Linked DNA regions of Oryzias latipes. Each later gene encodes a partner of the first gene's protein in a complex. Links are inferred from orthologs where the notes say so. Each region holds a gene or a part of one and is shown in the gene's direction. Other genes may lie near its edges.

Region 1 (15,972 bases):
GGACGGCGGTTCACAGGTTTCAGGCTGTTACAAACTCTGTGATAGAACAGATAATAGGAAACCAATAGTGGCGCAGATTTTTTCCCAAGCATTGAGCCGTTGTCACCACCACGCCCCGGGCATTTGCCCGTATTACCTGTGCCTAAAACCGCCACTACTGCGCGCCCCCCCTGGCATCGCATCGCCCCACTATTTGAGAAGCACTGCTTTAAACCAACATGGTTTCAGTAAATAGACATTGGTTAACCTTTATTTAAAACATATCTGGAAACTAAAAAAAAACGTTGTGAGAATTCCACAAAGATGCCTTTTTAGGGAGTTGTTAAGAGTGTGTCTAACTATGAGGGGGCATATGGGAAGACCTAGGACATTCTGGAAAGATTAGATCTCCCAGCTGTATCCTGGAAGAGGTAGCTGGGAAAAGAGAGGTCTGGGGTTCCTCGCTAAAACTACTGCTTCCGCAGCTCGAATCCTGGATGCCAGAAGATAGTTGTTGGATGAGTGGACACGTTTTTTGACGTGCTTGTATTTTAAAAGGTGAAATGATATCCCTTTGAGCCAGATTTGTGTTTCTCGATGGGACAACTTAAAAAGCAAAAACTGTTCTCCAACTCCCAGTAGTAGTTGCAGTATTTTCTTTGTGCTGCTTTAATGTCTTTGTTGTGCGGAAATATTTTTTTCTGATTGAATCTATCCACACGATCAAAGTTTTCATTTATTTCTATTATCTGAACGGGTTTACGTTAATAGCATAATTTCAGTAAATTCAGACTAAAGGTCAACTGCAGAGTTGGACGTGTTTGGCCCACATAGCCATGAAATGAGCTTGTTTTGATTTCCCACTTGAACTTTGAAAGACTTTAAAAAAAAAACTGTTCAGCTTCCTGCAGACTTGCTTCTCTCACCGTTTGGGGAAATTTCAATCAATCTATGAATTGGCATCAACAGTGACACATGCAAAAAAGGTCCCGTCTGGTAATCAATGAATGGATGCAGCTTCCGTTAGGAATGTTGGAACTTTAACAAATATTTGCGAAAACAGCTTATTTAAATAGAAGATTTTGTTTTTAAAGTTACTTTTTAATACTATGTTTGATAATATTTTGAATAAGTAATTCCTAATAACTGTGGCTTGTATTTTCCATGTAACTATTCTTAAAAATCCAGGATATTTATGACCTGTCATCTGTTTGTCCTGCAGTGGGCCAACATGAACTTACCAAGCATCAAGTGGCGGTGAAAATCCTGAACAGGCAGAAGATTCGCAGCTTGGACGTGGTGGGAAAGATTCGGCGAGAGATCCAGAACCTCAAACTTTTCAGGCACCCTCACATAATTAAACTGTGAGTCCTAGATTACACACCACGCACCGTTCGCCGCTCTCTAATCCTTCCGCCGCCACATTAATACCACTCACGGAGCTATTTTCAGACTTTAATAGTGTGTTTTAGACCACATCCATTTAGGACAATATCTGTGGACTTAAGCCTCTGCTGGTTTCGCAGAATCGCCTCGTCTTAGTGAATCATGTCTGACAGCATCATTCCTCTCTGTCTGACTTGTTTGCCCTCAATCTCAAATATATTACTGAGGAAATGTTCAGGTTTATTTTTGAATTTATAGCTTTAAATCACTTTTGGTATTGCTCATAACTTTTGTTTAAGCTGTTAATCATTTTTGTCAGAGCTCATCTGATCCAATTCCCTACCCGCTGGAGTGAAGGGAAGAATTTTCGCGGTCCAACCAGCACTGTTTAGCAAATGGCTAAAGGCTGAATGCTGGTTGGTCCAAATTTGCCTTAAAAGCTTGATGACAACTAACATTAATCACTCATTTAAACTGCACTCCCAGGACAGCACCCCAATACTTAAAAGGTTTTAAAAGTCTCGCAGGAGTTGAACTGCTGGTTCCATTCTTCCCCAGAGCTGCTCTTTGTCCATGGTGACCTCTGGGCTTTCCACAGCAGAGCAAAGTTAATGGACCAACGACAGAACACAAACAACCGAGAGGGCAGCCCCCTTGTTAGGATGTGCCACATATTTCTGAAACTACCCCCTAGTGGCAGCAACTCTGACAGAACAGCCATAGAACCATTTTCAAGCCCATAAATGGCCATTGCACGAGTTGGTACTTTAATTTTAGACTCAGATGGGTCATTTCATGAGAGAATGATGCAAACAAGCTGTAGAACATTGTTTATACACTGAAGCGCCAAACTTAACTTAATTTTGCCTTATTTCACCTATTTTTGATTTAATAAACATATTTTTTCTTTCCCTGTTTTTAAGCTTGTCACTAATTTACTGTGTTGGTCAGATTTTCACCCACCTTTCATCCTTTGAAGTTGTAATTTAACTGCTTTTTATTGTTTGAGCATTAGCACTGTTGATGGTTTTTTTTTTCATTTATCTCTCACCTCGGCTGTTTAATCCTCTTAATTAAACGTTTCATTTGTTTTTGCTGTAGGTATCAGGTTATTAGCACCCCCACAGATATCTTTATGGTGATGGAGTACGTCTCAGGGGGCGAACTCTTCGATTACATCTGCAAGAATGGAAAGGTAATTTGCTCTAATACTGGAAGTTGTCCTCTGTGTTAGTATTTAAATATAAGGAGGGATTTTCTACTTTTTTTAAGTAAATGTCAAACTTTATTTTTAAAGTAACCAGAATCCAGAAGAAGAGCTGCATGTGCTTGTTGTGATTGAGTAATCCTGACACAGTGTGAACCACAAAGTTGGCACTGGCTGTGGAAAAAAAAAAAAAGAAAGAAAGCATAATACCAAATGATTCTAAGTCAGCCGCGAGAGATCACACCTAATGGGTCATTTCTGCTTTAACAGTTGGATGAAAAAGAGAGCCGTCGGCTGTTCCAGCAGATCATCTCAGCTGTGGATTACTGCCACAGACACATGGTGGTTCACCGAGACCTCAAGCCCGAAAATGTGCTGCTAGATGCACACATGAATGCAAAGATTGCAGATTTTGGTAGGTATTTATTATTCCTAAAACCTGTAGTTTTGGTTGTAGTGTCAAGCATATCGGTGTTTACTATCAGTTGAGTTTACCTATGACGACATGAGGAAACCGCTGCTTTAAACAATATTTTGACGAATACAGGCTTGAGAAGAGAAGGAAGTGGAACTTTTTGGTTTGATTAAAAAAAACCTGAAGTTAATAAAGTTGTTGAATTCTTTATTAAAATATTTTCCTCTCCACACAAATGTCATAATGTACAGCTCACATGCAAAACACACTTTGAAGGTCATGTTTTCAACCGGAGCTATGCAGGAAATTAACACAAAGTTATCCTCATTATCTGTCCTGGAATGGTTTTGTCAAACAATCTCCATTCCGATGGATTATAGATATTTTTTTCTCTCTTGTGGCTGAAATGAAATGACTTCAACTTTTGTGTGAAGATCTTGAACTTTTGATGGCCGAAGCTCAAATGGATATAAATATGAAATGTGTTAACTTTATTATCTAACTACACGGAAGAGCCAAACCGTTTCAAGAATTTTGGCTGCTCTGGAACCAGCTGGAGGAGGCTGGATTATGGAAAGACTTGAAGAATAGTTTAATGATTAAAAATGGTGTAATGGAGGTCACCTGAAAGTCTCACTGCAATCGTCTTTTGATGTATTTTAAACGCCTTCCCAGTGGTCTTTAATTATGCTGGTTTTTGCCAAATTGAAAAAAAAACTGTAATTTTCTGGGACATAGTTTCTGCAGAGCAGCAGGAGTTCATTAGAAACGTCACAAATGCGCAATTTGAAAAAAATAAATACTCAGAAATGCACATTTTTACTTCATTTTCCTGAACACATTTAAAAGACACTTTCCATCGGAGTGGGTCTTTAACTTCTCCATCTTGTGCAGGAAGATGTTTCTAAGAGGATTCTATTTTCTTGCAGGTTTATCAAACATGATGTCAGACGGAGAGTTCCTCAGGACAAGCTGTGGCTCTCCGAACTATGCTGCTCCTGAGGTCATTTCAGGAAGGTAACATTTGCATTTCCTTTAGTAGAAGAAAGAAATATTGTAAATATCTTGTTGAGTTTTGTTCTAATTGTTGCTTTTTGTTATGTTTTTTTAGGTTATATGCAGGTCCAGAGGTGGACATCTGGAGTAGTGGTGTCATTCTCTATGCCTTGTTGTGTGGGACGCTCCCCTTTGACGATGACCATGTGCCAACTCTCTTCAAAAAGATTTGCGATGGAATCTTTTTCACCCCGCAGTATCTGAACCCCTCAGTAGTAAGCCTTCTCAAACACATGCTGCAGGTGGACCCGATGAAAAGAGCCACCATCAAAGAGATCCGGTAAGATCAACCAGGCTGTTTACAATATTTCGTTTAGGTAACATGAATTTCATGGTTAGTTTTGTCCTGAACCCTTTCTTGTAAGTCAATAAAACCATCTGCATTATAATCATTGACTGTATGTGAGAACTGGACTGAGTCACTCCTCCCCCCTCGCAATCCAAATATTAAGTACGTGTTGGTTCCAAGAACCCAAAACTTCTATTGAGAAGTAAATGGCTATTACTATTAGATATTAATCATTCTATTTGTCAGAATAACTATTCCTGCTCTGCTACCTTTTCTTTAAAAATGTTTTAGTTAATCCTTTTTTTTTTCATTCAAGTTTAAAACCGACCAATTGATGCCTCGATAAAAGTAGGTGGTGCCTGCTGGCCCTCACGTCGAACGTTCAGAACGTCTGATAAACAGATTTCATGTAGCCCGCCGCTTTCAAGTGAAAGGGGTGTGGACTTTCAATAAGCTCACTCCTGATTGGCCATAGAAATAAGGACACCGACCAACCCAGACCAATCACAGCTTAGTGACGTCGGGCTCCAACATGGCGGTGTCCATATCAGGAAAAGATGGCGTTGGAGCTGGAAGTAATCCATTTTCTATGGGTGAGGTCACACTCACTCAGTCCAGTTCTCGTATACAGTCAATGGTTGCAAAGTAGTCAACTTTATTTTTTACAAATATCTATTAAGGCTGTAAAACCCCTCACAATGCTCTTGATATACTTTTCTCAGAAATTCATGAACAGTTTCACACTTTACTCCTTTGTTTAAATTCTCAAAGTTGAAACCATAATAGACAAATAAATGTAATACTATAGAATGAAAACAAAGGTCTGATCAAAGATTTTGAAAACTGAACACGTTCTGGACAGGAGACACAGCACAGAGATTGGTTGACAGTAGCATGCAAAATCGCACACAAAAATCTGCAAAAAAAAAAGCAACATTGTGAGATAAACCACGATATTGCAAGGAACCAACATATAAATAAACTCTAGGGAAGCTGCTGTGTGGTGAATGCAGGCAAGCTCATCAATCTGCTCTATTGAATCCTGAAAGTTTTCTCCCCAAAAAAAGGCTAAAGAACTTTAATTTGTGAAACTTATGCAACTTTTTCCCAATTCCTGATCATTTTCTTCCAAGAGTTCCTAGATTTTTAGCCTCAGGGCCAAAGTGGGCCTCAGTTATTGGAGGAGGCTCTAGGAGGAGAATTGAGCCTCCCCAGAGGACTCTTGTGGCAGAGGCAGAAGCTGCTGACAGCTGCCTCTACTGCACACTTCCTTGATGGCTTTGATTAAACGGCAGACCTCGCTCACTTTAACACCACGTGACCCTGGAGGAATGTGCACTCTAGACTGTAGCCGACCTGTTGAGTGGGTTTGTTTCCTGTAAACAGTGCGCTCATGTTTTAGTTGTAACAGTGTTGCTGATGTCAGAATCACTGGGGGTTAAACCTCCGTTCTCTCCCGTATTTTCTGAGAGCGCTTTGAGTAAAATACACCTTAAAGACCCTTCCGGGTGCATTAGTGGGAGTCCTGTTTTGATCATTATTTTGGATCAGTAAAAAGGAAATAAAAACAAGAAAGAGGCCTACAATTAATGTTTGGAAAAGCTTCAAAACATATATTCAATTAAAAATATCAAGTACTTCAAAATGTATACACACACACACACACACACAAATGTTTGTAAAATATTTACAAAAACAAAAAATGAATAACATCTTTGAACTCAAGATATTCCTATCTAGAAAAAATACTCAGCATGCCCATGTAAACGAAGTGCAATATGACACATTGAGTCTAGAAAAAAAATGTATATATATTCAAAAAAATGAAGTCAGAATTTATGAGTTGACAGTCTTTCACTGTGTCCCTCGCTGCTATAAAACCCCTCCCACTGGTTACAGATGGGGCGGTGGCTTTCTACCGCCTGCTCCTGGCTGTGAGAGTCTCTGAATGATGTCAGGAACTCACACACAGAGACGTGCGCTGCTCATCGATGCTTTTGTAGAACTGATCCCTCATCATCCACGTCCTCCATGATGAAGTCGAGAAAAGCATTAGACGGAAGCTCCTCCCACACGCCACGGGGCTTTAACTTAACACCTTTTTGGACGTGTGTCAGGCAGGAACTAAGGCATGTTATAACAAAAACGGAGACATGGAAATTTAACACGTGAATGGCGTTCGTTGTGAATAGACGGTTGATTTAAATGATGCGGACACAAGTTGCACACGAGAAGCGAGACTGGGGCTTGATCTGTGGTACATGTGTGTGCCGAACCGTGGCTAGTGATGCGTACCATGATCCGTTGCACCCCGACTGATCATATTGTGATCTATTGCGAATGCATTCCCCAAGACCTCTCAGTTATGTGTGTGCCGTCTTTAGCCAAAACAAAAAAAACCTGTGTGGTTTTCTAGGAAATAGTTTCTGCAGAGCGGCAGGAGTTCAGTAGAAAGTTGTGAGCGGGAACGCTGGCATGGAGGAAATCCTGCCCCCCCTTACCTTCCCCCCTTGCTGAGAGCTCTCTGTTTACATGCTTTTCCACCAGCTCACAGCCCTCACACCCCAAACCTGACATTATCGGTGCGACAAAAATGGCGAGCAATAGTGGAGCTATCCAGCCATATCTTCTAAGCCAGATATGCCAGATCAAACAAGGAAAACAAAGGCGGACATGGATGTAGTCATCTATCAGAATAGAGCAGAGCAGGGAGTAGCATAACCAATACAATCTTTTTCAAACTACATATTTTTGTCTGCTCCTGATTTGCGATTTTATTGAAGAAATACTCAGAAAAGCAATTTTAAGCCTAATTCTCTTCATATTTTTCCTCCTCCATCAGAAAAATGCCATAAGAACATGTTATAGACACCAAACGCTCACTTTTTTGTAAATTAACTAGTGTGTGCTCCCCACAGGGAGGACGATTGGTTTAAACAAGATCTACCCAAGTACTTGTTCCCTGAGGACCCCTCCTACAGCAACAACATGATAGATGACGAGGCCCTGAAGGAGGTCTGTGAGAAGTTCGAGTGCACAGAGGAGGAGGTTCTGTCCTGCTTATACAGCCGCAACCATCAGGATCCATTAGCTGTGGCTTACCATCTCATCATTGACAATCGGCGCATCATGAGCGAAGCCAAGGATTTCTACCTGGCGTCCAGCCCTCCCGACTCCTTCTTGGACGACCAGCACCTGACTTCCTCCGCCGCAGCCGTGGCTGGCGTTTTAAAGCCCCACCCCGAGCGGGTACCCTTCCTCGTGGCGGAAACTCCGCCCAGGCCCCGCCACACCCTGGACGAACTGAACCCCCAGAAGTCCAAGCACCAGGGCGTCCGGAGAGCCAAGTGGCACCTGGGGATCCGTAGTCAGAGCCGACCCAATGACATCATGTCGGAAGTGTGCCGCGCCATGAAACAGCTGGATTATGAGTGGAAGGTAGGACGTCCCTCTGAGCGGTGTGGGGATGGGTTCCTGCCAAACATGTCTGCACGCCAGATGGACACCTGCTAAATGAAATGGCCACTACTGAAATGTTGTTTGAACTCCTTAGCTTGTTGCGACTCAAGCATTTTAAAATCCCAGAACCTGTAACATGTTCTGACCCGTTAAATCCACACAATCTATTTTTTTAATGAACAGACCTTCATCCTGATCTTTGAAGAGGTTCTCTATCCATCTCACCTAACTCAAGAATCTTAAGATAAAAATCTGTTTAATAACAATTTTTTTCCTAGTTGAAATTAAGTTTCTAGCTTACACACTAAACGAAAAAGAACCTTCATGCAGAAGATCCCACAGTGAGGCCAAACATTAAAGCTTAACTACAAAACGGTCAAATTTAGGAGAGAAATTTTCACTTTTCCTTCATAAAAAATATATGTTTCCTGTTATTCTGTGGTCAATATGCAATATTAGTTTCAACAAACATCAGTTAGCACAGATTTTCTAACATAACTTATTAATAACAATGTTAATAATCTTGTCATCAGGTCTGAAAATCATTACCAGTCAGTTTTAATTTTTTCACTACAATATGATTTTTTATACGATTTGATTAAATATTTATTTTTTTCCTAAAATCAAATTTTTTTTCTTAGATTTTTTTTTGTTTGTTTTGTTAAAAACTTATTTAAATTGAACAATGATGAAACTTTTAACAATAAAATAACAAAATCTTATATTAAAGTTGACACACATTCTCTTTTTATGCTTTGCTTCCCTAAAAAAGAAAGAAAGTGGGCTCATGGATTTGACGATTGCATTTTTTTGTTAGCGAGGATTGTTTGTTTTTTTTAACCTGCCACTCATTGCGATACAGTAATGTCTTTTTAAAATTCAGTCTGAACAACCTTATAAACCTGAACTTCCCCATCTGTGTTTTAGTGATAAACATCCACATTTCTAGAAGTTGGTGTCAGTTCATCCAAATGAAAATAGACTGACTTAAATAAAATTGAATTAGCTCAGCAGTTAGCTTTTATTTAATTGGCCTTGAGAAGTTGAAGTAATTACTGTGACCAAGACCATAATTTAACAACACACAGGGAAATTTCCATAGACATGTTTTAATATTCACACAGGAGGCTGTTGTGAGACTTGAACTAATCATCTAGACTTTTGAATCTTACATTTTCAGTCCTGAGGAAATGCATCACCTATATGCAGGAACTCCGAGTGAGAGATGAGAATTCTTTAAAGACTGCTTTTAATGGTGTCCGATAAACCAAACTCTAGTAGTCTTGATATCATTGGCTGATTACATTATGTTAATAAGCCAATACCTTGAAGAGGGATCACATATGTCAGATTGTCTTCATCAGTGAGCTGATTGTTTTCTCGTTGGATGTTCTCAGGTTGTGAACCCATATTACCTGCGTGTGAGAAGGAAGAACCCCGTCACAGGGATGCTAACCAAGATGAGTCTTCAACTCTACCAAGTGGACAGCAGAACCTACCTCCTCGACTTCCGTAGCATAGACGGTCAGTTTCCTACAACATTCTTTCAAACAGGAAGTGTGTAGATTAGGCCTGCACAATATACCGCAAATTTATCGTTATCGCAATTTCAAGCTGTGCAATATGCATATCGCAAAAGACAGCAAATTTGCAATAAATGGTTACCTTAGATGTGGCCAAACAATCTTATGGCAATTTGAAGTGTTTAATGGAAAGAATCCCTTTCTGCATTTGACCAATCAGATGGACCCCTTCACGTTGTTAACTAATCGGATGGCGCCCTATTATGTTGTATGTTCGCCTCCTACGTCAACAAGGGTCATTTGTAGTATAATTTTTAAGCACTTGTAATGGAATGGGAATAATATTTTTGGTTGTTTTGCTAATTGTTTATATACCGCAAATTATATCGTTATCGCAATATTAATTACTAATATCGCATATTGCGAGTTTTCTTCATATCGTGCAGCCCTAGTGTAGATCTTTATTTTCTTTTGTTTATTTTTTTTACTGTAACTAAAGTAAAAAAAAAAAACAATGCAGACACACACACTGTAAGAGGACAAACAGGGAGGTGTACAGCTACTGTTGTTTGCTTTCCTTTAAAGTAAGGGAAAGTATGATAAAATGAACCCTTCTAAATACATCTATTTAATATTTTAATTTCCAAAAACAACAAATCTGCTCAATTTGCCCTACACTTTGATTCAATGAATATTTGCTGTCATGTTCAAACCAGTTCGACGTTTTTTGATTTATGAGTCTGTAAAACTTTGACCTTTCACACACTTCTTGGTCATTTATCAGGCCATTATCTGTTTATAAAAAAGACGCATTCTAGGAATATTTTGTTTTTGTTTTTATTATTCAGAGCTAAGATTTTGTTTAAATACCTGAATGTTTTTATCTTCATCTTTTAGTTTCAGCTTTAAAATATTTTAGAAGAACCAAAGCTACCTTTTGGGTTTTATTTCTTTTAAGAAAGAATGGCCTATAGATTATTTTTGTGGATGTTTTTGTAAAGGTTATTTAATAAATGTTTGTGTGTTGTGCTGCTTAACCCTTCAAAGGACAAAATATGTTTTGAATGTCATCTGAAGTCACAAAAAAACAGCCAAATGTGTAATAAAAGCCTGTGGAGAGGGTTAGGACTGGATTTTTTTTAAAAAAGATTGTTTCTCTTTAGCTTAATACTTGAACATTAAGACAAATGCAGCTCACAGACTGTGCCGAACGTTTCCCTGGAATCTGTCCTGTGGTGTGCTGCTTCGCCACAGACTTCAGAAATGATTGACTCGGAGTGGGGAGATGTGGGAGCCTGTGTGGGTGTTTGGCAGTGGCTCACAGGAAAATGTGAGGTGGGAGGGGTTTTGAGCTTTTGGTGTGACACAAACGAACCGTGTAAAGTTTGAGCCCTACACTCCCATCAAGTTCAGCTTTATCACTAAAGTGTAGCTGAAGGCTTTAGTAAACACACTTCCAGGACTCTAACCTGACATACAAAGGGTTTGTTTGTTTTTTTGGAACTCTGCAGATGTTGCTGACAAGCTGCTAACTTGTAATATCTGCAACCAAGAATAATAGATCAGAACTATTATAAGACACACTCTGATGAAAAATTGTGTTTTTAATATGTTCTTGCGCCATTTTTATGATGATGGAGGAGATTTAAAAAAAAAACTTAAATTGCATTTCTGAGTATTTCCTAATTCTAATCGTTGTGAATCAGAAGCAGACAAATAAATGCAGTTTGAAAAGATCGCATTTGATATGTAGAAAATATGCTTTGTGGGCTACGAGCTCGCTGCTCGCCGACGGTCCCGCCCACAACTCAAACACGAATTTCTAAAGAACGACTACTGCTCTGCAGAAACTGTCATGTTTTTACATTTTTGGCTAAAAACTGCAAAATCATAATTGATGGAATACTGGGAACATTTGAAAAGCTGTAATTAAAGCTTTCAGGGAGCCTTTAAGCATGTTTTTTTGGGCAGGTTTAAGAATACAACCTTTTGTGTTTGTCTTATTCAGATGAAATTTTGGAGACAAAGTCTGGGACTGCAACCCCCCTCCGCTCTGGATCTGTGGGCAACCACCGCAACACTACAAAGAACGATGCAGAAGGAGCAGATGTTCCGGCAACATCTGCCGCCGCGCTACCACCTAAGACCGCCGAGGGCTCCTTAGCTTCATCCCTGACCTCGTCCATCGACTCGACGGCGGGGGACAGCATGTCTGTCCCCCGACCGGGAAGCCACACCATCGAGTTCTTTGAGATGTGCGCAAATCTTATTAAACTACTTGCACGATAGCTTGCAGAACAATCATAGCTAGCCTTTTCTCCTCTCTGAGTGTCTTTATAGCAATAAGCATGCAGCCGATTCATGGCTCAGCTCATCCTGGCTGAGGATGAGGTGACTCCTCCAAGGCACCGATGCAGGTTGGTGTTCCCTAAGCTTAAAGGGATGTAGGAGGAGTTTTTCTTAAAGGTAAGGGGGAAAGAATAACAAGATACTAAACTGCATAGGACACAAAAACACCAATTATCCTAAGGTCTTACAGTTTTTGGATCAATTCAGACCTAGATGTCCACATCCCATCTCTAAAAACATGCGGAAGTGACGACACTGAACGTTGTGTACTGTTGCCAGGGAGCAAGATCACATTTATGCCTGCAAAGAAGAAAGTCAGTTGCTGGGGCTGGATGGTTGAGCGGCAGTCAAAAGGATGCAGGAAGCACTTTTGCACAAGTTTTTGTTCTTACTTGCTGCTCGTGTTTATTTTTCCTCTCAGTGCGTCTCAGAAATGGTGCGGGTGTTCCAGGGCGTCGCTTTCAAACGGCGCCCGTCATTTTCATCGGACTCTGAAGAAGTGCAGCGTTTTTCTGCTGCGTGTCAGGGACAAAAAAAAAAAAAAGAATGCTTCATCTTTTTTATGTTTTTTTTTTTTCTTTTGTCGATCTTAAATGGCAAAAACTAAATGTTCATGTTTTGTCCTTGTTGTAGACAATTGTTTGAATTTCTCTGTCCCCCACATTTTTATATATATATAAAGACATGAATATATTTATCAATGCATTAGGTAGATTGAGTGTTGGTTCTAAAAAGATTTAATTTTTTTTTCTTTCTTGTATTATAAGCTCTATTGCTGGATGGTAAAAATATCTATTTACCTTTTTTTTTCTACTGTTTTTAGTCAATTTACAATTTTGCTTTTCCTCAATCACAACTATTGTGACACTTGATTGTCTTTCAAGAGAATTATAGTTGATTTCCATTTAGGAGGTGTCATAACACAAGAGACCTAATCCAGATGTGCATCTTTTTTTAATTTTTGTTTGGGGTGCCTCACTCTAAAGGACCGGTTCATTTCTACCTTTTTGTTGTCATTCCTTAATTACATTGGAATACAGTGACTGAGTGAAAATGCCTTTTGCTGACATTTACTTCACAAATGCCAATCTGTCCCCTGAAAGCCTCATTGGGGGGGCTTTTCTATTTTCAAGCTGACTAGTGATCCGAGTGCAGGCAGAAAAATACATCCATGACTTTTCCACCTTTGAACATATTCTGATTGTTCACGCATTCCTCTGAAGGCTGACCTTAATTAAAGATTTACCCATGCTTGTAACCTGAACTTGACCTCTGAGTTTGGCATTGGCAGGTGCTGTTAAAATGATAGAAGCAAAGCACACAAACCCATTAAGATTCTTATCCAGCGCCAATTCTTAGTTTGCTTTTATTATTATTATTATTTTTAAATTCTCATTCTGTTTTCTGTCTCCAGTCTTACAGGTTTAAGTGATGTCTGGCTGCCTTATCATTATAAGTACTGTTTCATCACTTTTCAAGTCTAAATTTAATTGCTGGTTGGGATTTTGCAGTTTTAAGAGTCCTCCACTTCTCTTGTTAGTGGAACTTTAGAAGCCATGTTAGGAATGGATTTTTTTTTCTGGTTAAAGCACTCGGCATTTACAGGAATGAAAGAGGGAAGTCCTGACTGCAATCAAAGCAACACTTTGCCAAACTATGGAAGACGACTGCAACGGCGAGCAGGTTTTATTATGAAACACCAAAGCCAATTGACAGTATGAGTTAAATTAGTTTCTCTAGTTTTAAAGTTCCCTGTAATGAACCTGGTTTTAAAAGAACTTTGCACAGTCAAAAATCAAACAAGTGACGTTTGATCTTTCTATTAAGAAGTCTCAGCATTTAAAGTTTACAGTGTTTAGGACTCCCATCAGGATTAAAGATTATTTTTCAGAGGTTTCATTCAATGAAAACTAGCTTAGAGTGGCTGTATTTGTAATCACTTCTCTTGTGTCTTGCAAAGAAGTGTAGACTGAAGTCTTTAGTTAATATTTAGTCTTTTATGTTGAAATCCTATAAATAACATGAATCTAAAAAGACTGTTTTGGAAAAATGATAAACTTAACATTCATGTTGGTTTAGAAGGGCAGATATGAAATCATTGGTAAAGTGTGTCTTGGAATATGTGGTGTTTTTTTATTTTTTCAAGAGAGATGAATGTGTGCAAAAAAGTATTTTTTGCAAGCTTATGGAAAAGTGCCCTGATAGACTTTTCAGTTTAGTCTATTCTTGAACTGCTTTAAAGAAACCTTTTTTTTTTTTGGTGTGTGTTTTGTTTGATGTGAAAGCAGATCATACCAGATTGATCCGTGTAAATTTGAATGAATATTGTTGAATCATTTGTATACACAACTGCCTAATAAACTGCTGAACTGCACTTTTTGTCTGTCTTTTTACTGTCTAAACTTTATTCACAATATATATTATTTATAGTCAAACTAAAAAAAATTTGAGTCATTCTTAGATTAGATTACTGCACTATTAGACCAATAATAATAATAGTACTGGCTCGGGTAAGTCTGTGGATGTAGTTTATATATTTAAAGGGAAAAAAATGCAACTGCACTTTTTCATTAAAAAAATCTCAATTCAAAATTGATTTCACTGTTATTGTATTAATCCTGTTTGGCAAAAAAAAAAAAACTTTACTGAAACAAAACTATAGTTCTGACAGGTCCATGCAATGATAACAACCCCAAAATTGTTCAATTTTTTTATTTTTATGTTAGTTTTTTAGTTTTACTTTAATTGTTTAATATGTTTCTATATCAGTTAAACAGACCTATTAGAGGAGCGTGCTATGACCACTTCCGGTTTATGTTATGTTTACGAGTTACTACTAGAGTAGGACGTGAAAAAGTTCAAAGGTCGAAGGTAATTTTCCTCTCCGAAAAAGTTGATCACACCCCTATTTTAGACACATAAAAAATAATATAGACTTTAAGTGGAATATAGGTATGAATAAAATAAATCGTTATATTTATTTATATTTAAAAATGCCATATCGTGTTGGAGTAGAGCAAAGAACATTTAGCAGAAAATTCCCAGAATCTATACATGCTCGCAATAGTATGTTAAGTAGAGTATCTGTATTAGTATGCTAATATTTCTATCAATGTCTGAATTTTTGTTTTTCTTCTCATAACTTTTCCGGTGTAGTTACAGTTTCGTGTTTGGTTTTAACTACACGACGTGAACGCGCCACATACGTTTCTAAACATGGCGTAAATTTAGCATAACATTCTTGCTCGCGGACAGCTGCAAAACACGCGTGCGTACAGAACAGTTGCATGTATTTTGTGTAAAATTTGTACTTGCTCGTGCACATTTAGAAAGAACTAAAGCACATTTTAACCAAGAAATTGGGTCTATGTTTCAAGGTGATTATGTTAGCCGGGGACATGCTAGCTCGTTGGATCCTTAGCATTTCGACTGTCTGCTTTCGATATTGTTTCGACTCGGTTTAATTTAACTTTTCCGTTCTTTCATAATTGTCTTCCAGTTTTACATGACCTAATTCGTCAGTACATTTTTTCAATTAATCAAAAAAATATTCGTAATATGACAATTTATCATGTTATTTCAAAATAAAAGCATTGGAATTAAAGTCTTTTTTTTTTCTTTTGTTTGTTTGTTTTACAGAATGGCTTCATTTGGCTGGAAGAGGAAAATCGGTGAAAAGGTGTCAAAGTCATCGGTGCAACAGTTTGAGGCTGACACTGAGAAAGATAAGGACGCTGGAGCCGCTCCCGATGAAGAGGAGGTGGATTGGTTGCACGCCATCAAGCGTCGTCGGGAAATCCTGCTGGAGGACTGCGCCGAGAAGAGCAGGAGGCTGAAGGATGAGGGGACGCTGCTGGCTGAGCAGGGCAGGTGAGGCTGTTCACCTGCACCAAAAGTACAAATATATTTAGACTGTACTAAAGTGAGGCAGTATATATTTGAAGTTTACTTTTTATATTCTATTTATGTATCGTAAACTTAAAATAATCCAATTTATTGCGAAGAAGTGTTCAGTCAGTTAGTTTACTTCCTATCCTACACTACACGTATATACTTGCAATACCTATTCTCAATTATACTTAAAATCCCGTTCCAATAAAAAATCTGTTTTCAACATGTCCCTGTTGTGGCTTTTTTATATATATATGGAGGACACATAAAGCACATAAAGACAATAAAGACAATAAAGCTTAAATTTGCATTTCTGATTATTTTGTTATTCAAACCTTTATGAATCAGGAGCAGATGAAAAAATACTGTCGGAAAAAGCTTGTAGGTATGATGTGGAACCTCCAGTCGTATCTGTGTA
Region 2 (16,051 bases), on another chromosome or scaffold:
TTGTGAGGTGAAAAGTTGTGTTTGTATACAAGGGACCATGAAAGGAAGGCTTGGCGATAAAATGCAGATAACTTAAGTGGGATTTTATATACATCATAATTACACATGAGAAAGAAATCAGCGCCACCAATTTTAGATAAAAGATGAAGAGGTGTAGTGTTCCAAATGGAGCTGGGATTTCTAAAAAGTTGTTTTAGCCAATTCATTTTAAATGTGTTATTCAAGGTAGAAAAATCGAGAAAATTGAGGCCACCTTTGTCACAGGAGTTCATGAGAACATTTTTTTTAAGTAATGGGTTCTGTTTTTCCAGATGAAATTAAAAAGCATTTTGTCAATTTATTTGATAATTATATCATCCACATGTAAAGCCAAAGCTGCGTATGTTATTATGTTGCGTAATACCTTCTGCTTTGCTGAGTAAAATCCTACCTCTCAAGGATAGATCTCTGGAGAGCCACTGATTCAATTTCCTTTGCGTTTTTTCTATTAGTGGGTTACAATTTAGGGAGCTTCTTGCATGTTGGTCTTTTGGTATTAAAATGCTTAAATATTTCACTTCAGATTTAACTGGAAGATTATACAAAGTGGTAGCAACACATTCTTTAATTGCCATTAATTCGCATTTATTGACATTCAAACAAAGATCGGACGCCTTTGAAAATGTCCCAATGACGTCAAAAGCAACAGGAATTTGCTTTTCATTTTTTAGAAAAAGTGTAGTGTCATCTGCAAGTTGAGTAATAATTAGTTCTTTGTCAAAGAGATTGATGCCTTCTACTGCACTGGATTTAATGTGATCTGTTAACAGTTGAGAAACTAAAAGGAAAAGACATGGAGAAACAGGACAACCTTGCCTAATTCCTCTCTCTAGATTAAATCTGGGAGAGGTGCCACCTGCTAATTTAATAGAGCTGTTAAAAATTTGGTATAATGTAACAATAGCTGAACCAAAACCAATTTTTTTAAGACAATGCAAAATGAATTTATGTTCTACGGGCAGCTGTGGGAGTCCCAGCTAGACGCTGGTTTCCTGGTTTGGCCTTGGTGAGTGATCTTGACATGTGGACCTTTTTAGTAGGGATGGGAATAGAAGCCCCATTAAGCCTCATTGGGGTTCATGTAATTGTGCCAGAAAAATAAACCACCCAGTCAGGGCTTTGAAACCACACAGAGTGGTGTCCTGCTCCGGTGCTCCTCCTCTGTTTTGTGTTTTCTTTTAATCACTGTTGGGGTTGTGGTTTGTTTGTGTGTATTGCGGCCCTGAACAGGTACTCCTGATGAGGGTTTGGATTGGAGATCTCCCTTGGGGTTGTTGGTGGCTATCCACTGGTGCAGTGAGGCTGAGGAGTCCCTGGAGGCAGCCGCCCTCATGCAGTGTTGGAGCGCGGTCCAACTGTACGAGTATATTGTAACCTTCAATTTTATGGAACTTGTGTCAAGTTTTTAATCACATTGTATACTAACCACTACCAAATCCAGTCTCCATTTGGGGTGTAAATGTAAGGGCATTCGGTCACAAGTAACAAAAAAAAGAAAACAACCACTGCATGTTTTATTTTAAGATTGAGGACATAATTTATTCCAGAAATGTAAATGTGTTCTATAACCGGTCCTTGGGTCTTGGCGGGCCGCACAGAATAAATAACTGTCATCCGTTTGCTTTATTTCGGAATCTGAAAGATGTTTTATTTTGAAAAACTGCTCGATTCTGTTACACCGTCTATGTCACTTGGACGCAGGCCAAGGCGCTCTTCTCGGTCACGTGATGGGTTACCGCTAGAATAAAACCCAGGAGCTAACAAAAGGAGTAAAACAAACTCCTTTGGAAAGTTTATTTGCCAAGGGGAAAGGGGCCAGCCAGGAGGCAGAAGAGGAGCCTTCCACTTCCAAAAAAAAAGCTACATTTGATACAGTACTTCTCTTTTGCACCACGAGAGTGGGAAGGGGAGAGGATGAGACCTGTGCGGTGTACGACATGTCTGTCAAAATAAAAGCTTGGTGTTCGTAATGTTAATGTCTCCGTTCCTCCATAACTTGCCTACAAAAGTGGCCCGCCACATCTTAAAGACCGTGTAAGTTTTGAATGACGCCATACCGGTCCGCGGCGTTAAAAAGGTTGGGCTAGATTTGTTTGTGTACACTTCAGACACCGATTACAGCGACTTCGTTACTGCGCATGTCCAGCTCCTCTGGTCAGAGCGGAAATAGATTGGCGCGGCGTCCTGTCACCCCGGTCAAAAGGAGGCGAACGGGCAATGGAATATGGATTGTGTAAGTGATTGGCTCTGTTTATTTGGGCACATTTAAAAGCCTACTCACAATATGCTCCTAACTCATCATACAATCATTAAAGCCGACGTTGGAAACAGTGCTAGCGTTAGCTGCTAGCTACGAACTTATTTTTCACGTTTGTTTTCGATCTGTCGGTTGTGTGTTTAGAAATCTCCCTATCTGAGGATTCGGCCTCGGAAACGGTTTATTTACGGGTATTCAAACATGGATAAACGGGTTAAATTGTAGTAAGCATAATAAAGACATTCTTTAAAGTCTTTGAACCAATAATTAACTCGAGAGGGAAGGTAAATGACTGACACAGACAGACCGTTAGCTAACAAGCTAACACGTTAGTGTAGAGAAAACCAGTAACAAAGGCTCTTAAAGTACTTTCTGCATGTTTATAACCTGTAACCTCGTCTTAAAGTATATCTATTCATGAACATCTTCTCAGGAACTAGTTTGTTGTTTTGCGTGGCTTCTCCTGGTGGTTAAATGAACAACGTCGGACCAGTTTCGTCAACGGAAATTGTTTTTATTTTACAAACGGGTAAATTAACAAATGTAAGTATATATTTATTAAAAGAAACTTTGACATGGTGCAAAATACGCAGGTGTGTTTCAAATAATCATTAACATGTTCACTCCGGTTCTTTGGTTAATCCAGTTATTTGGTCAGCCATCCTAACCTATGATTTTGGTACAGTTGGTATATTTTAAACTGCTCTTTTTATTATTTTATGTAATTGTTTCCCCAGATTCCAGTAACTATTGATGATCTTGAGGGCAAGAAAGACCCCGTCATTGAAGGTAACAGACTTTTCTGTAGATCTTATGACTCTGACGTAGACTGACTGAGGTGTGTTTTCATTTTTGTTTTGATCAATTCTTCAGACTCCGAACACAATGCGTACACGAGGTTTATGAAGTCTCATCGCTGTTATGATCTTGTACCTACCAGCTCCAAGCTAGTTGTGTTTGACACATCACTTCAGGTAAGAGAAACCTTTTAATCCATCAGATGAACACTTGAACGTTGGTAACTGTCAATAATTGTGCAGGTGAAGAAGGCTTTCTTTGCTCTCGTGTCCAATGGGGTGAGAGCAGCACCTCTGTGGGACAGTAAGAAACAGTGCTTTGTCGGTAAGATTTGTTTTGTTTGTTGGATTTCAGTTCAGTGAATAAACATCTTTATAGCTCATGTTTTTTTTCCCCTACAGGAATGCTTACCATCACAGACTTTATCAACATTCTGCATCGCTACTACAAGTCACCATTGGTAAGATGGTTTAGTCCGCCAGTGGACGAAGCCTTCAAATGTCCAACTTCAGCTGCAAGACTTCTATGTTAGTTACAGTAGCTACTTTCTTTAATACTCTATTTACACTTTCAGGTTCAGATTTATGAACTAGAAGAACACAAGATTGAAACATGGAGAGGTAGGAATGGTTGGAACAAGTTTTGCTGCATAGTTATTCTTACGTTCACTGCAGTAAGATCTTTTATGTTTCCAATAGAACTGTACCTTCAAGACTCCTTCAAACCTCTGGTTAGCATTTCTCCCAATGCCAGGTGAGCAGCAGTAGCACTTTAAACCTTTGTGTTTTTTTTTTTTTTTTACTTTAAAGTCTTGATGAGTGGGCAAACAATGTCTTTTGTTTTTTTGCCTATATTATACTATCATCTTTTGATCTATTCTCAAAGCGTTCCCAGTGGTCTTTTAATTGTGACTATGCCATTTTTAGCCAAAGTCAACAAATCTTCTCTAGGACATAGTTTCTGTAGAGCGGCAGTAGTTCATTAGAAATTTGCCTATGATTTGTGGGTGGGACTGTTGGTGTGGAGCAACCCCGCCCCCCTTCCCCTCCTGGTCGCTGAGAGCTTGGAGCAGGGTGCTTGTGGCCGCCCGCCCAGGGTATTTTCAACGTCACACATACGATCTTTTCTATGCGTCGCTTTTTTTGTGTCTGCTCCTAATTCACAGCAAGTTGAATAAAGCAATACTCAGAATAGCAATTTTGAGCTTAAATTTGTCTTTATATGTGTCTTCAATCATGAGAAATGCCACAAGAACATGTTAAAAACATCAAAAACCCAATTTTCATTGGAGTGGGTCTTTAAGGTGGATCTACAGCTGAGGCGTTCTCATAGAAAATTGCTCATTTCTAAGCCTTTTCAGGGCCGGCATTGGGAATAGCACTGGTAATTGAATAGGTCATCTCCGGAACACTGATGGAATAGTTTGACATTATCTTACCCCAAAAGAGAAACTAGGAAATGGCTTGACATGTTTGTTCAGGGATTCCACTGTAATCTGCAAATGCCTGAAAGCAATAGGTTCTTGACTGGGCTCTGTACTGAACTATGTCAGAGTTTTTGAAAAGGTAATCTGGTAAATGGTAAATAGTGTATAATTGTATAGCGCCTTTCTTCCTACAAGGACAAAGCGCTTTACAGTCACAGACCCATTCATCCAGTCACACACACATTCACTCACACATTCACACACTGGTGGTGGATCTGTACCTTATTAACCCCCAAAAATGGAGCAATAATGACATGAAGCTATATTGGTGGCTGCTATTCCAAATTTCAGCTTACGGTGGGCTTGTTTTTCACACTTCAAAAGCTTTAGCTTTATACTTCTTTATGTTAGCATCTGTCATTTAAAAAAGTGCTGACCAAAAAGTCTACATAGAATCTCACAGGATTTTTTTCCATAGCTTGTATGATGCAGTGTCATCTCTACTGAGGAACAAGATTCACAGACTGCCAGTCATCGACCCCCTGACAGGGAACACCCTGTATATACTCACACACAAGAGGATTCTCAAGTTCTTGAAGCTGTTTGTGAGTTCCTCTGAGGTCGTCTTTACCCGAGTTTCACATTTTACAGCAGTAATCTACTGTGGGGCAACAACTCTTTTTGTTAGCCTGGCAGCATTTTTCCATTGTTTTCTTGGGATGGTTATAATCTGTTGTTTTCAGATATCAGAGATGCCCAGACCCTCATTCCTGAGTAAAACCGTGGAGGAGCTGAATATTGGAACATTTAAAAACATAGCCATGGTGCGTAAAGACACACCTGTGTACACAGCTCTGGGTATTTTTGTTGAACAGCGTGTGTCTGCACTCCCCGTTGTGGATGAAAAAGGTATGTGGGCTGCTTAAAGTCATTTCTCTGTTTTTGCAAGTTTTCTTTGTTCCGAGGTCTGATGGGATGTCTCTGCTTTGCAGGACGGGTGGTGGACATATACTCTAAATTTGACGTTATCGTAAGTTAAAACCTTTCCCCTCATGCAGCATGTTCTGTTTTGTCACAGCTGTGTGAGAACCATGTAACCACTCTGGTCCGTCTTGCTTCTAAGCGCTAACTTGCGGATATTGATCAGTGAGGAAAGTTAGGAAAATTGCCAAATCAAGGTGTCTCTGTGCAGAATCTGGCAGCAGAAAAGACGTACAACAACCTGGATGTGACTGTAACCAAAGCCCTGCAGCATCGCTCTCAGTACTTTGAGGGGGTTCTGACCTGCCACATACACGACACCCTTGAGGCCATCATCAACAGACTGGTGGAGGCGGAGGTAAGGCTCGCTTTCCACTTCCACCCAGTTCTGACTGGAAATGTAGAAAAGACGTTTTTGCTTTCCTGAAAGGAGTATTCCATAAAAATGGTCTTCCTCTTTTGTTCCAGGTGCACAGACTAGTTGTGGTGGATGAACAGGAAGTGGTCAAGGGAATCGTCTCCCTGTCAGATATCCTCCAAGCACTAGTTCTAACTAACAAAGAAGAGTGTAAGTACAGTTTTTATTAGAGGTGTAACCATTCGTTTTATCAATGATTGGATTCATATCATCATTTGTGGTTGACGATATGATTCGTAGTCCATATCGGTTCATTTTGAATGATCCAATTCTCTGACCTAAAGTGGATCCAGGACGTCTTTATCCAAACTTCCAGCAGTGAGACTCAGACAGAAATTCCTGCTACTGAACAGTGAAGTTTTCCAGATTCTTGGATTTCTTCCAGATCATCAAGTGGAAATTAAATATGTGTCCAATCAAACAAGTAAACTAGAATGAATGTCACATCCATTCACGTTTTAGTTTCCTGCCCACTGTTGTTTTTTCACGTCCAAAGAATCCATGTTATAATAAAATAAACCTACCTTACCTCAATCCAGATGCTATTTTCCAAAATTGATATAATTGATTTATTTGAATTAGAAATTATCTTATAATGGTATTAGTCAACTTGATGAACAATTTGCCCCAGACGGATGGATCTGGTTGGATCGTAGGACCACAAATTAATTCACTGAATAATTGATTAATCGTTACACCCCTTGGTTTTTGACTATCAATACAATGGAATGTTTTTTGTTTTGTTTATTGATGGATTTTTACTCCTGATCATTCCATCTACAGGTTCAACTTAACATCTGATCATGTTTTCAGAAGAGACCAGAGCAAAGGGAGAGAAAGGCCACGCATGTGAGAAGGCTCATTTGAAATGTCTAATGTTTGCAGCTCTGCTCTCTCTGCAAAAGTCTGAGGTTGATCATGTCTGATGATGTCACAATCATAATAATCATAGTAGTACTGACCTGCCTCTTGGGGGAGCCTAACTCCAAAGCTGTGTTCAAACTCTGCTGGTTTGGTTTGTTCCAAACCTGGAGTTTGTTCCTGCAGCACACACAACTGAACACTAAAAGAGCTGTCCTCCAACAGCCGTCAGATGGATATGCTAATGCTAACATCTGCCTCCCCTTCAAAGTTTCTTCTAAGCACAATAAACTTTTTTTCTTCTTCACTGAGCTGCATTATTTTAAAATTTGTAAACACTTTAACCACATTTTAAAGTCCTTCAGTTAAAACCACTTGAGAGTTGCCAACATGACAATGTAGCTCACATTAAAATGTGCACAAAAGAGCTGCAAGAATGGGAGCACTGTGGCTCTAAAAACACCCTTTAGACTTTTTTTAACCTGAATGATGTTAATTTAATCAATAATAATCTCTTTGTTAGATTTGAATATGTAACAATATTATTCCATTGTTAGCATAATGTAGTATAATCTACAAGTTTGCACACATTTGACTTTGAATATGACGTGACATTTACTCAGCCTACATGAGAAACAAACCTGCGCTCCTGCAGAACCCCAAGTACTGTGAACGTTCAGAATTAGGAAACGGCTCCGCATCAGATCAGAACTAAAGGCGGTGAGGGGCGGAGGGAGACGTGTTAACACACCTGAAGTCCACTTAAGGCAGGTGAGGATGTCAAAGCACAGTTAAACTCTGCCCTAAATGAATCCACCTGCTGCTGGGATGGGAATCAATGAACATATCCATGGATTTGTTTTTACCCAGCAATGTTTTTTTTTCTTCAATTGGCTCATTTTTAGAGAAGAGAAGGAATAGATTTATAATCTTAAAAGATGGGACTGTTGCAGCTTTAAAAAGCCCTTCCAGTCAGAGACGCTTCTTAACGTTTTTCTTTGAATGAATCTTATTTCATTCATGAATTTAGTTGTCAGTGTTGTCAACACGTCTGCCTTCAGAGTGACCTTGTAGGAAGTTCAAAGTTCTCCTCTATTTCATGTCTGTCATAATCTACAACAATGACCAGAACATGACGGGATTGCTAAAAAAATTACCCAGCCATTTAATTTGGGAGTTAGTATCTTTAAGAAAAAGATTTTGTCATCATCTTGTAAAGCTACATGTTTAATGGACTGTTTGTTTGTTGCTTTGACTGGTTTTTTTTTTTTTTTTTTTGACCCGCATTTGGGGTTTTGTATTTATATTGTCAACACTTTACATCGTTGCTTCAAAGTCTAATGTTTGTGCAAAACATCTTTTTGGTCAAATTAAGATTTTGTCGAATTATACAAATAGAGATTTTTTGTCAGTCAATAATCCATAAAAAGTCATAAGTTTAGATATTACAGGTTCTTTTATTTGTATTTTCTTTTCTGTACTCCAAAGTCACCACAAACCAACACGTCCTGTCATTTATTGTTGTCATGAATTGAAGACGGAATGCAAACCGCTCTGTAAATTCACAGGTTTTGTTCTTATCCATACTGAAGCTCCAATTTAACGACAAAGCAATAAAAAGTTATTCATTGGCATCTTTTAAATGCATAATATCCTTAAATCTTTGCCTCTTTATTTTCAAGTTTGCACTAACTCTTTCAGGAGTTTCTGTGAAAGCTGAGTTAATGCACACTATGACTGAATGATTTCCCTACACAGCCTGCATAGGATGTTCCATTCAGCACAGGCCTGCAAAATTAATCCCAGATTTATCGTTGTCGCGATTTCAAGCTGTGCAATGTCCAGATCGCAAAAGTCAGCGAAAATCACAATAAATGGTAAACCTTAAAGGTGCTAAAACAACTATTTAATGAATTGAATAATCCCTTTATGCATTTGACCAATCAGATGGAGCCCTTCACGTTGCTGACCAATGGGATGGAGCTTTTATGTTAGATGTTGCCTGAGGGTCATTTGGAGAATAATTTAAGGTATTTTGACTCTTAGTTAAATTAAACTTTTGCCGGGAAATGGAAACGTTTTTTCTATTTGTTCATTTATCGCAAGTTATATCGTCGTCGCAATGTTGATCACTAAAATCGCATATGGCGAGTTTTCCTCATATCGTGCAGCCCTATTCAGGAGTCAATTATGCAGAGATTAGATTCATAATTCATAACTGCAATAATTACACAAGGGCAACGTTGTTAATGCTCCTCAGTTCAAGTTTCAGAATGGCCACAGACCCTGATTATAGAGCAGTTCCTTAAATGACCACTAGAGGCAGCACTTTCACTTCACTCTTATGTTAAAAGGTAAAATATTACACACTTGTTTGCAAAAACTTGTTTCGATGTTTACATTTTGTTGATTAAAACCGAATCTGAAGCTGCTTTAAATTTTTATTAGAATTTGATTTGTGCACAATTAGACATGTTTTTGATTGATAGGTAAACAGAGTAAACTTTCATTTTACTCTGTTCCACCCCATCAAACTTTAGGAAATGTTCTGTAGTCCTTCAGTCCTCAGTTCTGCCAGAGAGGACAAAAAAGCATTTATAAAGAAACGATAGACAAGTTTCGAATCACTAAAGTGAAAGATTTCCCTCCATCATTGTCTTATCCTGAGACAAGCTGAGCACTGTCTGTGGTTAGATCCAACCTTTCTTTGTCTTCCTGCTTCAATCAACCATTTTGATTTTTTCAGACCATTAAACAGAATCTAACCAGGCGATCAAGTTCCCATATTTAGACCCACTCCAATGAAAATTGTTTTTTTTGTGGTGTTTTTAACATGTTACTGTTTCTGATAATAGAAAAAGAAATATGTAAAGAAAATTAAGCTCAAAATTGCATTTCTGAGGATGTCTTCATTCAAATCGTTGTAAAGCAGGAGTAGACACAAAAACATCTTATTTTGTGTAATAGAAAATAAAAAAGGCAGTTTGAAAAAGCTTGCAGCAATGATGTAGGTGCTCCAATCAGCGGACCACAAGCTTCCTGCTCCGCTCCATTCTGATCATCCACTTGGATGATCGTCTTTGTTTTCCTCACTACCTGCTTTCCTCGTCTGAGCTGGAATGTGGATCAAACCATGTCAGGTTAGGGATGTTAGGGACTGGAAGCCAGCAGCATGTTAGCATGGGGTTGCTCCGTGCCAACAGTCCCGCCCACATTTGTGATTTTTTTTTTATGAACTCCTGCCGCACTTCAGAAACTATGTTTTAGAAAATGACACAGCATTTGGGATTTTGGCTAGAAACAGCATAATCATAATTAAAGACCACTGGGGAAGCTTTGAAGATAGATGAAAAGATGATCTGAGTGGGTCTTTAATATTAGAATGACATTTTTAGATTCTAATTAGGGCCTAAATCATTAAAAAAAAAGACATTTGAATGTTTTCTTTTAGCTCTAACTACGATGGTCCTGAAGTTAAAATCAGATTTAAAAAAAATCAGCATTACATTTTAGAAAACAAATGTAAAAAAACTAAAGTAAATTCCAAAAAACAAAACAAAATGTTAGAAAAATGAACCCAATAAGAAACCGGAACAAGAAGGTACAACAGACATCTCTGACTGTATGACGATATATCGCTTCATGTCTAATTACTTTCCATTTGAAATGATGGACAGACATCATCCTACAATCAGCAATGTCCCATAGTACCTACCTTTGTGCTTGTTTTAAATGTTTCATTTTGTTTAATGGAAATTTCTTTTATTTTCTATAAATTTGTATCATATTTATGTTTTGGTTTCTGGAATTTTATTGAGTTTCTCAAATGTGATGCTGATTTTTTAAAATATTTGTTTGACTTTTTTTGTTTTAATCGCCGTTGTGGTCTTTAAAATGTTTTTGCGGCTAGCCCTTTTTTTGTAATGTTATTTGCACTTCAGGCCCAGCGTAGGTAACAATAATCCATGATCTGTGCATCATCTTTACGTTTGTAGCGCACAGGTATGAACAGGAACAGCAGCAACACTGAGCAGCTGAAGCAAAACTAAAGCCACTAATTTGAGTTCAATGAATTCAGTAAAACATTTTAACGTTTGGAGTTTACGACTAAATGATCAACAGTACTACAATCTACAGTCCTGATGCTTTGTTTGGTCTCAGACTGGTGAATTGAATCTAGCTGTGTCATGTTTTCTTTTTCTATGTGTTTATTTGGGACTTGAATCAGGATAAAACTTTGGACTCAACATTCACAAACAGAACACGTTTTAAGGGCACAGTATTGGCAGAATCAAATCACACTTTTTTACTTGCTTATACTGCATGAGGGTTACAGAATAAAGATCTAGTCTTTAGCCATGTAGCAAAAGGAGCTTCAATTATTCACTCTCCCTAAGGAAACATTATATATTTGTACAAAATGGCTAAACACAAATGGGTTCTTGGTCCATATTATGCAAGTGAATGTGGCATAGGCTTATGATTACATATCTTTTTGTCTGAATAGTCAAGCATGAATCTAATGTTTTTGCCATGATCATAAAAGTATCAACAAAATATATAAATTAAACTTTTTTTTCTCATAATAAACACGACGATAAATAAAAAAAGACTTGTTAGAAACCTATGCTTTGTTCTTCTTACAGTCTTTCTTTTTCTCTTCTTTTTCAGCTTTCTTCTTCTCCTTCTTTTTCTCGTCCTTCTGCTCCTTATATTTCCACTTGGGGGGTTCCAGATAGCCCTTTTCCTTCTTCTTCTTCTTCTTTTCCTTCTTTGGCGCTGCATCTGCAGGCGTGTCCACGCTGATTTTAGGAATACACCCAGAAGGAAACACGCTGTTCCTCCTCGCCATGCTGCGGGGAACAAATGCGGTAGCAACCTTGGTGGAGGCCAGAGAGAGGATGCTGCCCCGCCGCTCGGTGTCGGGGCAGCATGTGGCGGCCACGGTTTCTGCTGAGTGGATTGAGGGGAGGACGTGGGACGCTGAGCCAATGCTGTGGCACACGGAGCTTTCTTCCAGCTCCTTCAGAGAGTGTTTTTTCAGCAGCTCTGCTACAGCCAGTCGCCTCTTTCCCATCTCTGGAGGACTTGTGGGGCAGAGCGGCCGGCATCCCGTAGAAATCAGAGGACTGTGGACACTGGTGGTCATGCGCACCATGTGGTCCAAGACCCCATTGTCCTGGGGATCGCGTGGAAAGCTGAATCCAAACGTGTTTTTGATTCGTAATGTGATTTTCTCTGCTGGACTTTTCTGAGCTGCGGCTTTGGCCACTTTCTCCCTGAGCTCAGGCCACTCGACCACATAGTTCTCACAGAACTGCTCTGCTTTTGGCCTCGCCGCGAGGCGCCGGAGACGATGAAAGGTCTCATAGCGACCAGTTTTGAGGGCCCAGTCCCGGGCACATTTTCCACGGGTGGAGTCCACTGCATGTATGTCTGCTCCTGGATGATGAAAATCAAACAACTAAAGGTTTTTTTCTCAACTATGGGACATTTACGTTCAATGTGTACAGTAAAAAGGTTTTTCATAGATTTTTCGGTAACAAGTAAACTAAAAATAAGCAAGTGATTTAGCTACAACTAACCAGGATACTGGTAAGCTTGAGATTACTGGATGTATGTTAAGATGTGATAATTCCTTCTGAATGATCCCTTAAACTGATCTTGGGTCATTGGCTCCTGTACTCTGATCACCAGAGGCAAACATGGCCTACAATGAATCTTGTATCTTAAAAGTTGAACGTAAGAGTGACAGTTTGTGGGTGGGTTTCATGTTCTTACACACCAGCCATAACAAGTGCAGCCACAACATCATCGCGGCCCGTCATCGCCGCTTTGATGAGGGCTGTGAAGCCTCTGCAGTCCTTCACTTCAGTGTCTACTCCAGGAAAGTAGTTCAGGAGATACATGACTGTGCTAATGTGACCTGCAGCGGGACAGATGTTCAGCCTCACAGTTGGTAGATTGCACTTCTGATGATGGAGCAACTGTCACTGTTCACCTGCTTGAGACGCGATCATCAGTGCGGTGTTTCCCTCGTTGTCTTGGTGATTTATGTCTACAAATGGACAGTGGTGGAGTCCGTATACGATGTCGATGAAACCTTTGGAGCAGGCCACCATCAAACAGTTCTGCAAGTAAAACCATTGAAGGCCGGTCAGTGACTCTGTCAAAAGCAGAATGTCTCTCAGAGGATTAAGCTCTCACCCTGCCATTGTTGTCAAGCTTCATGACCGCCTCCTTGGAAACTCCTCCCCCCAGGATTTTCTGCAGAGAAATGGCATCGTTGCGCAGACAAGCCTCGTACAGGCTGGAAGCTGTTGGGTTATTTGGGATTTCTGGTGTGTAGTCTGGGAGCACAGAGTCATCAGAGAGGATGCTGTCGGCGTCCGTGTCTCGTCCTGATGCAGGAGAGTCGTCCTCATCAGGACCCGAGCCCAGATGTGGGTCGTCCGCTACAGAGGCCATCTTCCAAAAGAACACTGGCCTCTTCCTTTACATCTAAAAATATTTTACAAACAGAAACTGATGAGGCAAAAACCTCTCCACAAACCATCCATGACTTTTGCAAATCAGAGGTGTCAAACTTGTTGGTGTGTGTCACACCAAACAGTGCACCAGGCTTTAGATTTGGCACGTTGGCGAGTCACAGGTTGACTGCAAAGGGTGACTGGAGTCAGGGATTACGATTGTGTCTGACGTGTGGCATCATGAGCTCAAAAGGCCACTTAGGTGGATCAGCAGTAACTGTGCTGCTGCGTTTACGGCGCAGCTAAATGAAGAACAGCCACCTCAGATTTACCTCAGTCACATGGTGCTGCTGCTCCGTCTCTGCAACTGTTTCTGTTGGATGAAGGAATTTCTCCACTTTCTTTCACAGCGTCAAACCAACAGTCCAGCATGCACTTAAATCTGAAACCCAAACCCAATAACTTCAGACAAGAAAACTTCTACCGAATTCAAAGCAAGGAAATCATTGTTTTATTGACAGATTTGTTGAAAAATAATATTTTGATTTGTCATTGAGAAAGTCTTGGTTTTCGTCTTTCAAAGCCTCGGACTGATCTTTCTGCAAACTGTAAAGTGTTATTAGACCAGCATACAGACGACTGAGTTCAGTTTCTTACCGTGACGGTATCTGTGACCTTTCTGACTGCAGGTAGATTCCTCTCTCTTCCTCCAGAGTTCTCCTGATTTCCTCTAAAACAACAACAAAGTTGTTCCAGGACCTGCAAGCGGATAGCCTTTCTTCATTTTCATTCCCAGTAAATCACAAAGAGGAGGAGTCTCCCATGCCGAGACGCTGTCTGTTGATCTCTTGTGCTTAGCTCATCCCACTTACAACAGCTTTAGAGAAGATTACTCACTGCTGAGGTCATTTTACTCTCAACACAACTCTGACTTTCTGCTAACTACTTCTGAACTCGGTTTATGTTTAAAAATGTAAAAGATTTACCTGCCATTTCCTTACAAATGAAGCTGTAAATCGGGATATGAATGAGCTGTCTGCCTGGTGGTGGTTTGATTCCTGGTTTTTAGAGCCTTTATGTGTTCTCAGCAGAATACTTCACCTCACATTGCCTCAAATTCACTGAATGCTTTATAGGAGGGTTTGGATAAAAGTGCTAAATGACTCAATATTGACAAATAAATAACACATTTAAAAATTAAAACATTAGTGATGATTCATTTACTTCCAAACAAATACCTGGCATCTGAAATAAAATTGTTTCTGGAAAGAAATTGTACAGTCCCTGACAAAAGTCTTGTTGCTTATCTATTTTGTAGAAACAAAAGCGTATAACCTCACTGTTAATGAATCCATTGGTTTTAGAAATGTCTCATGAAAGCTAAAACGTTCCCAAATTATGTTCAATATACTAAAATAAAATTGCTTCACTGAAGAAAGATTGATCATTTAATGAACACAGAAAGGTCACATTTTGGCAAGACAAAAGTTTTGTCGCCTTGTCATATGATGCACCCAATCCTAGATGACAGCCTCAGCTGTGATCAATTACTGATCAATCAATTAGTGGGTGTGTATAAAAAGAACCCCAGCACACCAAGCCTTCACATCAACTGCAACTTGACCTCTGACAACATGCCTAAGATTCACCCTGAGACCAAAGCGTTGATTATCAAGAGGCTGAAGACCAGATCACTGCTGAGGTGGCTGACACCTTCAATGTGTCTCAGCGTCAAGTACAAAGAATAAGAAAAAGATTTGAAGAGACTGGAGATGTTTTTGACAAGCCCAGGTCCGGCAGACCCTGCAAGACAACTGCTCGGGAGGACCGTTTGTTGGTTCCAAAATCCAAGGCCAGCCTCTTTTCCACTGCAGCAGAGCTCCACCAGGCCTGGTCAACTCAAGTCCCTGTGTCAACCAGAACAGTTTGTAGAATTCTGTCTCAAAATGGCCTCCATGGTCGAATCAGTGCCCAGAAACCAGCACTAAACAAAAGGCAATTGAAAAAACGTGTGGCATTTGCCAAGGCCCACAGCTGCTAAAAGGATGGACGCTGGAAAAGTGGCAGAAGGTGGATTTCTCAGATGAGTCTTCAGTTGAATTACATCACAGGAGACCAACTGGAGGCCGCATGGACCCAAGACTCACCCAGAAAACCGTTAAGTTTGGTGGCGGAAAAATCATGGTCTGGGGTTACATCCAGTATGGGGGTGTGCGAAACATTTGCAGGGTGGAAGGCAATATCAATAGCCTAAAATATCAAGAAGTATTAGCTACCTCTTACATTCCCATCCATAAAAGGGATCAACTTCTGCAGCAGAATGGTGTTCCATCGCATACTTCCATCTCTACATCAAAGTTCCTCAAGGCGAAGAAGATCAAGGTGCTCCAGGACTGGCCAGCCCAGTCACACGACATGAACATCATTGAGCATGTCTGGGGTAGAATGAAAGAGGAAGCATGGAGGACGAAACCAAAGAATCTTGATGAACTCTGGGAGGCATGTAAGACTGCTTTCTTTGCTATTCCCGATGACTTCATCGATAAATTGTATGAATCATTGTCAAACCGCATGGATACTGTCCTTCAAGCTCATGGAAGTCATACAAGATATTAAATATGGATCTCACAGTAGCACTACTTAATTCACTGATGTTATGCAACATATTTTTGTTTTTGAAGTAAATTATTTGATAAATTTTCACATTACTCTCTGTAGGCGACAAAACTTTTGTCTTGCCAAAATGTGACCTTTCTGTGTTCATTAAATGATCCATCTTTCTTCAGTGAAGCAATTTTATT

What was found.
Region 2: the proteins of prkaa1 (region 1) and prkag1 are in contact, whole or in part, in a crystal structure (PDB 6C9H), measured with the Homo sapiens proteins. The link is inferred for Oryzias latipes from reciprocal best matches to the Homo sapiens genes PRKAA1 and PRKAG1. Residues at the interface, in NP_006242.5 of Homo sapiens: Ser295, Ser296, Thr297, Met298, Ile299, Asp301, Glu302, Lys305, Arg342, Glu347, Ala348, Phe351, Tyr352, Leu353, Arg369, His371, Pro372, Glu373, Pro376, Phe377, Asn449, Val451, Thr452, Thr536, Pro537, Arg538, Gly540, Ser541, His542, Thr543; in NP_002724.1 of Homo sapiens: His36, Asp40, Leu41, Ile42, Pro43, Thr44, Ser45, Val50, Leu64, Val65, Gly68, Val69, Arg70, Trp75, Ser77, Lys78, Lys79, Gln80, Phe82, Pro158, Glu159, Ser160, Gly161, Asn162, Lys170, Arg171, Lys174, Phe175, Leu178, Phe179.

The regions. Positions count from the first base shown.
Region 1 is NC_019870.2:7,425,452-7,441,423, forward strand, and holds the end of prkaa1 (5'-AMP-activated protein kinase catalytic subunit alpha-1), read left to right. Parts: intron 1-1,201; coding exon 1,202-1,343; intron 1,344-2,466; coding exon 2,467-2,560; intron 2,561-2,842; coding exon 2,843-2,987; intron 2,988-3,916; coding exon 3,917-4,004; intron 4,005-4,098; coding exon 4,099-4,323; intron 4,324-7,250; coding exon 7,251-7,770; intron 7,771-9,188; coding exon 9,189-9,315; intron 9,316-11,322; coding exon 11,323-11,603; 3' UTR 11,604-14,037; downstream 14,038-15,972. Other genes in the region: ttc33 (tetratricopeptide repeat protein 33), read left to right, coding at 15,304-15,533. UniProt on the Homo sapiens protein: Catalytic subunit of AMP-activated protein kinase (AMPK), an energy sensor protein kinase that plays a key role in regulating cellular energy metabolism.
Region 2 is NC_019863.2:4,032,176-4,048,226, forward strand, and holds prkag1 (5'-AMP-activated protein kinase subunit gamma-1), read left to right. Parts: upstream 1-2,361; 5' UTR 2,362-2,770; coding exon 2,771-2,839; intron 2,840-3,033; coding exon 3,034-3,085; intron 3,086-3,169; coding exon 3,170-3,270; intron 3,271-3,336; coding exon 3,337-3,418; intron 3,419-3,495; coding exon 3,496-3,554; intron 3,555-3,668; coding exon 3,669-3,714; intron 3,715-3,792; coding exon 3,793-3,847; intron 3,848-4,998; coding exon 4,999-5,125; intron 5,126-5,263; coding exon 5,264-5,429; intron 5,430-5,512; coding exon 5,513-5,550; intron 5,551-5,712; coding exon 5,713-5,859; intron 5,860-5,969; coding exon 5,970-6,069; intron 6,070-6,702; coding exon 6,703-6,713; 3' UTR 6,714-8,440; downstream 8,441-16,051. Other genes in the region: photoreceptor ankyrin repeat protein-like, read right to left, coding at 9,346-9,351, 11,453-12,222, 12,566-12,706, 12,782-12,911, 12,988-13,248. UniProt on the Homo sapiens protein: AMP/ATP-binding subunit of AMP-activated protein kinase (AMPK), an energy sensor protein kinase that plays a key role in regulating cellular energy metabolism.